2 linked regions of the Mus musculus genome follow. The protein of the gene in region 2 purifies or fractionates together with the protein of the main gene of each other region. This does not show direct contact. Links are inferred from orthologs where the notes say so. Each region holds a gene or a part of one and is shown on either strand. Other genes may lie near its edges. The genes, in order: Inhba and Acvr2b.

Evidence for each region.
Region 1: the proteins of Acvr2b (region 2) and Inhba purify together in Homo sapiens (affinity purification with western blotting; 3 studies listed by BioGRID and IntAct, with this or other methods). This does not show direct contact. The link is inferred for Mus musculus from reciprocal best matches to the Homo sapiens genes ACVR2B and INHBA.

The regions. Positions count from the first base shown.
Region 1 is NC_000079.6:16,010,172-16,014,772, reverse strand, and holds the start of Inhba (inhibin beta A chain preproprotein), read right to left. Parts: upstream 2,923-4,601; 5' UTR 2,683-2,922; exon of another isoform or gene 2,574-2,682; 5' UTR 2,387-2,573; exon of another isoform or gene 323-2,386; 5' UTR 241-322; intron 1-240. UniProt on the Homo sapiens protein: Inhibins/activins are involved in regulating a number of diverse functions such as hypothalamic and pituitary hormone secretion, gonadal hormone secretion, germ cell development and maturation, erythroid differentiation, insulin secretion, nerve cell survival, embryonic axial development or bone growth, depending on their subunit composition.
Region 2 is NC_000075.6:119,400,681-119,405,153, reverse strand, and holds the start of Acvr2b (activin receptor type-2B isoform 2 precursor), read right to left. Parts: upstream 2,977-4,473; 5' UTR 2,609-2,976; coding exon 2,557-2,608; intron 2,505-2,556; exon of another isoform or gene 2,361-2,504; intron 1-2,360. UniProt on the Homo sapiens protein: Transmembrane serine/threonine kinase activin type-2 receptor forming an activin receptor complex with activin type-1 serine/threonine kinase receptors (ACVR1, ACVR1B or ACVR1c).

The sequences.
Region 1 (4,601 bases), on a different chromosome or scaffold from region 2:
CTCTTAAAAATAACTTTCTTTTTGGCATATGTACTTGTATATGTGTGCTGAGTGGGTTGTATAAACACAATCTATTTGCATGCTCTAGGACTATTAAAAAACAGTATTAACCTGCCTGCACAATAGAAAATGATACAATTTACAATGCCTATGGAGGTGCCAAAAAGTTGTAAAAGTCCTTTTAGCCATACTGACTTTTAATGTGTAGAGAGCTCAGAAGCAAGAATTTAAAAGCATTACCTTTCGGGTCCCTTCTGTTTTGTCAGCCGGCTCTTGTCTCATGAGGTCAGAGCTGTCTGAATTCCTCTTCATGGTATTGGCACTGTGAAGTTTTATACTGTAGTACTTAGTTGTACACTCACACATTGGTACCTCTCAAAGAGGAGGGCTGGGGCTTTGTTTAGGATTGGTTAGAATCAGCATGACATCAGCAGATGACTCGTTTTTCCAGTGTGAGACATTTCATAATTCATTATCTAATGGAAATCTCTCTTGGCTTCTGAGACAGGACCTGGGTGATGTCCTGAGCCAGTAAAGCCTGTGGCTAGGAATAGTCCACCCTTTACAAACATAAGAGAACCACATACACACATCTCCAAGAGTGTCCAGCTTTGACATTTTACTATTCATACATACACCTCTTATTAGATTCAGGTTCAGCCTTATGTCTATACATAAGACATCTGTTACTTCATAAAGTTACTTCTATTTGCAAAGCACCGTATTTTTTCCACAGCAAAGAAAATTCATAGTGTTCTTTATAGGAATTCTAGTATTATAATTATGATTATAGGAAAATATTTTTTTCAGGAAAATCTGTATGTCCATGTGGTGATGGTCTCCCTGCTTTGACTCACACTATTAATTTACACCTTGAAATTGAATGCCTGCTTCATACATCATTTATCACCTCGGACTTGGGAAATGGTCTTCCTTTGCAAGTGAACTTCATAAGTATCCTGCCTAGATGAGTCCCATCCTAACTAGCAAAAACAACAGTAACACACACACACACACACACACACACACACACACACACCTGCATCTTTTCTTTAAAAGCTAGAACTTCAAGTCCAATCATTTGTAAACACTATAAATATGAGTTTAATGAAAAGAAGTGAACTCTCCTTAAAATAGAAGTAAAGTTAGGTTTGGGTTTTCTTTTGCCTGGGTCACACTGGCAGGGAGATAACATAGAGAGAGACGAATGCCCCGATAAGCACAGTGAAGAAGGGCTGTTGTTCTCGGGGCGAAGTACAGCTAAGGCACTGACCAGGTTCTTATGACAAGTTGGATAAAACGTGCAAAACTGGGGACTAATGAAAGCCATATGACCAGATATGTTGTTTCGTGTGCCGGATTTAAGATGCATAAAATAAACTTTTCACTGTGCCCATAAGCAAACTGTAGAGGCTCTGGTCTCCTGATGTGAAGTGGGGAAGGTTTCTTTATGACACCAGGAGCTGTCTGTGAAAGGGTCTCTCTTGAGGGCTTTCAAAGTGTGGATGCTAGCTATATGTGGGGGAAGGGGAGGGGCAAGGGGAAGGAGTATTCTAAGATCCGCATAAGAGAACTGAAGTAGGAAATAAAGTTGCAGGGGAAAATGACAGGAATATGGGTGGCAAAGACAGAAAGATAATCAGTGATAGTCATTTCCATTCCAACCCCAACCCCGGGGTGAACATAAACCTTTGGAAGAGAGGCACTTCCATGCTGTTTGATAAGAATCCCTGAGCATCTAAACTCATTTCTTGCCTCACACATAACTTCAGGGAAAGTCCCACTTGCACCCGAATGTAGATTGTAGACTGGCTTGGCACAGAAAAGTGCCCGAATCAGACCCCAGCTCCGGGGCGCCCTCCTAATTTAAACTCAAGCCTCAGTGTTTCCATCTATAAAGTGGGATGTATAATTTCAGGATCAAAACTCAGTGGTCACAAAAGAATGTTATTTCGGAGCATCCCTGTAGTTTCTTAAGCATGTGTGTCATAAGAATGTTCAAGACCCTGACTGCAGGGGCCGCCTCACACAGGGTCACTCTGAGACCCTGTTGGCCTTTGACACCCTGAAAGTGCCAACCTGCTAAGCCAGTCTAGCAGCTATGACGTAGCTGAATCTCCCCCAACCTCAGAGCTGGAACCACTTTGGGAAAGCCTCCTCTCCTCCATGGAAATCCAGGTGGGGGTGGTGGAGGAAGCAGGTAGGTTAAAATGCTTCTGTGGAATATTCTGGGCTGAGGATCAGCGTTTCCCAGCTGAATTCCAGGGCCCAGGGCGTGCGCTGGTCAGCGCAGCTCTGAGCGGGGTTGGTTTCTCTTTCACTTCCTGCCCCTCCCGCGGAGACTCCCTGCACCCAGGCCCTGTCCCTTTTCAGCTTGCCACCGTACCTTGAGCAGCACCTGCTGGCAGTTTCCAGGGATCACTCCCGAATGCGCAGCTCCAGCCCGGCTCGCGGGACGCCTGGACTCAGGGGCCAAGCTGGTCCAAGCGGCCGCCTCTATTTTTACCCTGAACACCAGCAAGGGCAACTTCGTTTAAAAGCGCAGCTCTTGATTTTTCCCCCCCTTTTGGCAGCTAAAGAATTCAGGGAGGGGAAAGAAAAAAAAAAAATCACTGTTCAGTGAGTGCAGCCGGGAATCTCTGATCCCAGCCCTCGGTGCCAGGGAATGTCAGGGACCAGGACCTGCAGTGGGGCTGCCGGTCTCCTGGCCAACGGAGGCGAGCGGCAGCTCAGGCCCCGCACCCGCAGACTGCCCCTTCCCGAGTGTAGAGTTCGGTCCCACCGACTACCGCACTGGCAGAGTGGCCCGCTGCCACCGCGCTCTGCACCTAGCGGAGGCGTTCTGATTTACTGGCTACTTCACAAAGCTCCAACTCCACGCTGGCCCGGTGCTGCCTGGAGGAGCAGCCACTAGCGAACCCCGGGAGCAGCTTGCTGTGAGGAGGAGCCCGGAGGGAAACTGGTACCTTATTTTACTGTAATTGCAAAAGAAGAGATGTGCCAGAGATTTATATTTAGAAGTTGTATGTTTCTACTTTTATGTAAATGGAGCAATTAGGGCCTGTCTTGTTTCTGCTAACTCGGATGCGTGAGCATTGCTGGGGAGCTGGTGTTTTCAATCACAATTAGTGAGCTGGTCAAGAAACAAAGTTCCTTTGAGGATAGAGCTCCTTTGTGTGGATGAGGGAAACCTGCGTTTCAGTGCTGGCCGGTGGCTTGTGGTGACACACATCTTAGGGGCATAGCTAACTCTGGACTAGTGTGTTTGCCCTGTGCAGCAGCTGGGCCCATATAAAGTTGGCAGAGATCAAGTCGTGAGAATATTCACTTTTCCTCTCAAGCAAACCGTATGTCCTTAAGCTTTCATGCAGGCTATTAATCGCTCTTCCCTCACTATCCCTGAAGCAAGGAGACAGGCTTGGAAAGGAAGCCGTTTTCCACGACTCTGACTCTGTGGTTAGCTGCTGCTCACAGATCCTGTGATTCAGTGAAACATGCAAGCCAGAGAATGTGGACACCTTAAGCAGGTGACTGACAAGTGTCCTCTGATTCAACTGAATGACAGGAGGCTGGTGGTTCAGAGGCACAGACAAGCTGCTGATAACTCAGGGTGTTTGGTTCCTTCCTATGAAAAATCTGTTTCAAAAAAAAAAATTCATGATTTCTGCCTGCCTTGCTGGGAAAGTAAACATGAAACGTGACTATAAAAATGAAAAGAACCTTTGAGGTGTTCTCATCAGCTACGTGTTGTTCTGGGCTTAAGGGGTGGTGGGGGGGGGGGGAAGACCTGGCCTCCTTGGTTAGGGTTACCCTCTCCCCCACAAGAGACAGCACAACATCCAGAAAACATGGGCAGGACTCTGAATGATATTTGCTGCAGTAAACTGTGGAAGTCCCTGTCTAACCATCCCATCAAACGGCTTTGGTAGAGTATGGGGTTGGCAAACCTGTCTGTTTCCTACAGGCCACAGCCTGCAACTAGTTTGGGCCAAATGTTAGATACCAGGATTTGGGCCAGAGATGGAGCGGCACTTTGCAGTCAAAAATCCAACTAGGGGGCTGTGTGCTTCTAAGCTAGAACAAGAATGAATAGTTCAAAACCGAACTGGAAAGGGGGGCATTCACATTGCTCTGAACTGTATCCAAAACAACAAATAAGAGACGGTTAACCCCAAACTCCCTGATTCCTAAGACTCACATTTTTTCTCAGAACCACCTGAGTATCCCTTCAGGCCTCATGCTGTCTATGAGGACCTGCCTTCAGGATATTGAAGACTGTCATCTGAACAGTGGCCCCAGATGCTACAGTTAAAAAATGGGAAAAGAAAAAGAAGGAAAAATTCCGTAAGTAAAGCGTTGTTGTTCACTCCAGAACAGCGGTTCTCAGCTGAACTGGTTTCTCTCTCCGGGACATCTGACAATGCGTTCAGCTGTCATAACCAGGAAGGAGGTGCCACTGGCATCTACTGAACAGAGGCCAATGCTAAGAGCTCTCCTACAATGCACAGCACAGGATGGTGCCCACGCTAGAAAAATTAGCAATGATTATACAGTGAGAAGCCCTGAGTTAGAGTCATGATTTTAAGATTTCACCCAATTCC
Region 2 (4,473 bases):
TTTTTTTCCTGCCTCATTAATTATAGTGATGTATATTGAAATGACTAATCTTCATGTTAACTTAATTCTATCCAACGATGACAAAGAGGAAGGCTCTGCACCCCCCCCCATTCATAATAGCAAAGCCCTAACCACCAATAAAGACATACAGGTCTTTGGAAGTGGGATCTCTAGGGAGTGGTAAGGGTGGATTAGACCATGAGGGTGGGATCCTGACTGCAGGATTGGCTCTCTTAAGGCACCCTGGCCTGGCTTCTAGAACCATGTTAAAATAAGCACTGCTGGTTTCTAAATACATATGGCTACTTTAACTGTACTTATCTCAGGAGTGTTTGTCTGCAACTATGTCTGTGTGTCCATCCACACACATGCCTGTTGCTCTCTTCGGAGCCAGACAGCAGGGGACCCTCCTGGAAGTAGAGTTCAGGTGTTAGGACTAGAACTTGGGTCCCCTGCAAGAGCAGCAAGCACTCTTAACCACTGAGCCATCTCTCCAGCCTCACACTGCTGTTTGAACCACCCAGTCCTGCGGTATGAAAGCAGTCAGAAAACACTAAAGACACAGCTATTTCTTTCTTTTACTAACAGGGCTGTTGGGAATTTTTAAGTTGAATATATCTGTCGAGCCCATGTTCCCGCTGGCAGCACCAATATACAGATCTCTCCTTTTTACCACAGAGCTGAGTAATTCCGAATATCAAGCCAGAAACATGAAGGAAAGATCTCTGAAGCCAGAGGCACAGGAAGGCCAGCTCTACCCCAACCCTTCAAAGTTTTCCTCCAGTTCCTCAAAAGAGAAAGCAGCAGCCACCACAACACAGGTGACTCTATCCCCAAAGGCAGAACCACAGGTTGAGTCAGAACACGTGCCTCTGTGTTCCGTTATGCACTCCCCCAAACAGTGCAGCAAATGTGGTACCAGGGATCCACTCTCACTCTGCCCCTCCAAATGGGAAGTGACTGGTGAGGTCAAACTGGAACAAACAGGAGCAGTGATGTACATACAGACTTCTAGTCTGAGGCGAACGGTCCTGAGACAATGCTTTCAACAAACCTAAACTTAAAAGAGGCAAGGCACATACATGTCCAGGTGCAGAAATCCAGTAAGTCAAGAGCCGACTAGAGGTTGGTCCTATAACTTGGGGTCAGCCTGCTGCCGCCCTCCCCGGAGCAGACCACTGTTTTCCATCACTTCCAGGCTCTCATTCTTGGGGTGAAAAATCTCTGGAGCAACACTTCGGGGAGTGGCAGAAAGAAACAAAATGTTCACCCTGAGCACCGCGTTGCCTCTACCACTCCAGGACAGCACTGAAACCGCTTCCCAACAGTGGGCTCGGGTAGCAAAGAAGTTATCTCTGCCCTCTGGTTCGTACACTCATGCTCCACCGCACCCAGGCTCGTGCAAAAACTCTCGGGGTCGGAATTAACAGCTAACCCTCACTACCTTGTAATAGAAAAGATTGAAAGTGAGGATCCCTGTGAGGGGGTGCAATGACCATCTGGGATACCCACCCCCGCAGCTGCAAGGGGGATCCCAGCCCTTCCCTACACTCCGGGCCCCGCCCCTCGCGGGTTTCCCAGACTCCGCGCTGCTGCCACCTCGGGCCGCAGGGGACCCGAGCTGCATGTGTAATGGGGGTTGGGAACAAAGACGCGCAGGACCCAGAGCCCCAGCCACCGGGCACCAGCCGTCCTAATCTCCACGATCTTTTCTCTGGAGTCTTAATGCCCGACTGTCCACGTTTCCTGGAACTGCCCTAAGCCCGCCCCGGAGCTCCTACAAAGTTGAGCACGCTTCAGCACCATCGGGACACAGAAATCAGTGCCTAGGCTTTGGGGGAGAAAGCGCTTTCCCAACACAACTTCGTGCGTACACACCCACACCTTCTAGTCCCAAGCAGACGCGCACCAGCTATCCACAGCCCGCAGGCGGCTGCGAGCTGACCGCGGGTCACTCACGCCCGCCACGTGCCGGCCGAAGCGATCTGAGACCTGTTGGTTCGCCTCTTCAACCCTTCTCCACTCCCAGTTGCCCAAAACAAAAGCGGTCCCACGAGGGCGCATCTGCGGCCCGCTGCAAGAAAAGCGGGCGCAGGTAGGAGCCACTCGCATGAGGATCGCGACGCGGAGTGGCGGGACGGGATGCAGAGGACTCCGGGCGGGCTATGGAAAGCCGTCCGCTTCGCTTTGCGACACCTATGACTCTCAGGGGCGAGCAGCCCCAACCCAGCCGCCCCCAATTAGATGCCCACCCCGCTTGGCCGCCTTCCCCACGCTTAGGTTTTCCCCGCTCTATCCCTGGGGTCCGCACACCCGCGGAACCTGAACCCCGACCCTGACGCTCCAGGTTCCCCCATCACCTAGAACCTCTGCGAGCCAGAATCGCGCAGAGGAACCGCACGGGCGAGCTCGCCTCTAAGATCGCAAGCACCAGAGCGCCCCGCGCGACCCCGATCCCAGGCAGGTGGCGCGGCGCCGAGGCCGCGGGGCCGCCCTTTGTTGGTAAACACCGCGCGCCCCAGGTCCCTGCACCCCCACGACGCGCCCGGTCCTTACCGGCGCACAGCGATCCCCAGAGAAGGGCGAGGGCCGCCCAGGGCGCCGTCATGTTCCGCGGCGCCGCCCCGCGGACACCCGGAGCCCGCGGGCAGGGCCGCGCTGCGCTCCCGGGGCGCGCAGGGCCCGGCGGCGGCTGCGCTCTGCTTCCCGCTCCTTCTCTGGGTCTCGCTTCCAGGAGCGCGCGCTTCTGCGCTTCGGTTCCCAGGCAGTATGCGGAGATAGGGGCTCAGGGCCGCTGCGGGCGGCGCGCAGTGCGGCCCGGGCTATGGGGCGACGCGGGAGCCGGGGGGCGGCGGCGGGGCGCGGGCCAGGGCGCGCCCGACGCGGGCATGGCGCAACGGGGCTGGGCCCGGGCCCCGGGCGCAGGGGCCGAGTCCGGAGGGGCCATGAACGGGGGAGGGGTGGGGGAGGGGACCTGAACCGAGTCCAAAATGGCTCCTGAGCGGTGGCCACGGAGCCGAGCCAGCGGGGAAACCCGGATGTTGGATACAAAGAGGCGGGCGAGCTGGGCGGGGAGGGGGAGGGGAGGCGGGCCCTCCGGCCGCGTGGTCCGCGCCCCCCTTGGGGGCGGGGCCGGAGAGGAACAACAACACCGAGGCTCCGCCCCCCAGCCCGCGCCCTCTGGAGACAGCGCGCCTGCAGCACCAGACTCTAGGGCTAGGCGGGGCGCGCTCTCCGAGCTGGTGGGATTGGACTGCCCACAACTTGGCTGGTGCTTTCCTGCCCCGTGCTATGGAGCCCACGCTACGGGATGCACGCTCCTCTGGGACCCCTGAGTGAGTGGGTAGCTCCTGGTCCCCATAACCTAGGACCTCTGCCCTCCAGCTCCCATTTATGGGCTAATTAATTGGCAGGAAAACGCTGAAGTCTGAATTGACAGCAGTTCCTCACAACGCACGCACAGTTATCTCCAAGCAGAGGAGGACCCACAGAGCAGCTGCAGGTGGGAAAGAACTGTTGGCGACCTGCTTTCTGAAGGATCCTCAGCAATCCAGCATCCTTCATCTTACCTTCAGCACTCCTCCCACCTCTAAAGATCTGTTCAGAACATGCCTCTGTTCCTTTCACACACGCACACACACCAGATCCCTCCATTTCAGATGTTACACAATCAGAGTGTGAGAGCAATCGGCCTCCCAGCTACACTGGAAAAGCCAGTCACTACTCAGGGGAAAAAAATGCTATGGAATCCTCGGATAGTTACCTCCTGCCTCACCAAGAGCAGTGGGTCATAGGAGGAAGGACGCTCCCCCCCGCCGCCCCCCCCCCCCAGCCTGGGTCATTTCATTTGCTCGAGCCTCGGACTTCCCTTATGAAAATGACGGTGTTGAAGTCCTCCAGACTTGGGTAGAGTTTCTTTCTGCTACGGCTTTGGTGTTGAGGTAGGGATCCTCAGCTTCCCAAGAAGTCTGCACCTTGTCTGACAACCTTTGCTCTTAAATGTGGTCTTTTTCCTCTCCTTATGTAATCCTCAGGTGGCCTCGAGCTCGCAGTCCATCTGTGACTCTTCCTATTTTTCGTTCGTTTATTGATTGATTGTGTGTGTGCTCTCTTGCCTGTATCTATGTGCATCCAACATACAGTCATATGTTTCCATATGCCCCGTGCCACCAGCACCCTCCATCTCACATCTGGGCAGCTTTAACAGCAGAGGGCTGAGGGGCTCCTTAGATGTCACTAGGGTCCATTCACGTTGCTAAGTGTATCTTCTATTTCTTTTAAGATTTTTATTATATTTTACTTATTTATATGTGTGTTTGTATGTGTATGTGTGCATGCATGTGTGTGTGTGTGTGTGTGTGTGTGTGTGTGTGTGTGTTAAGGAGAGAAGCAGACAGACAGAGACAGAAGAGAGAGAGCATGAACACATTGAGGTTGGATGACAACTTGCAGTTGGTTCTGTCTTTCCACTCT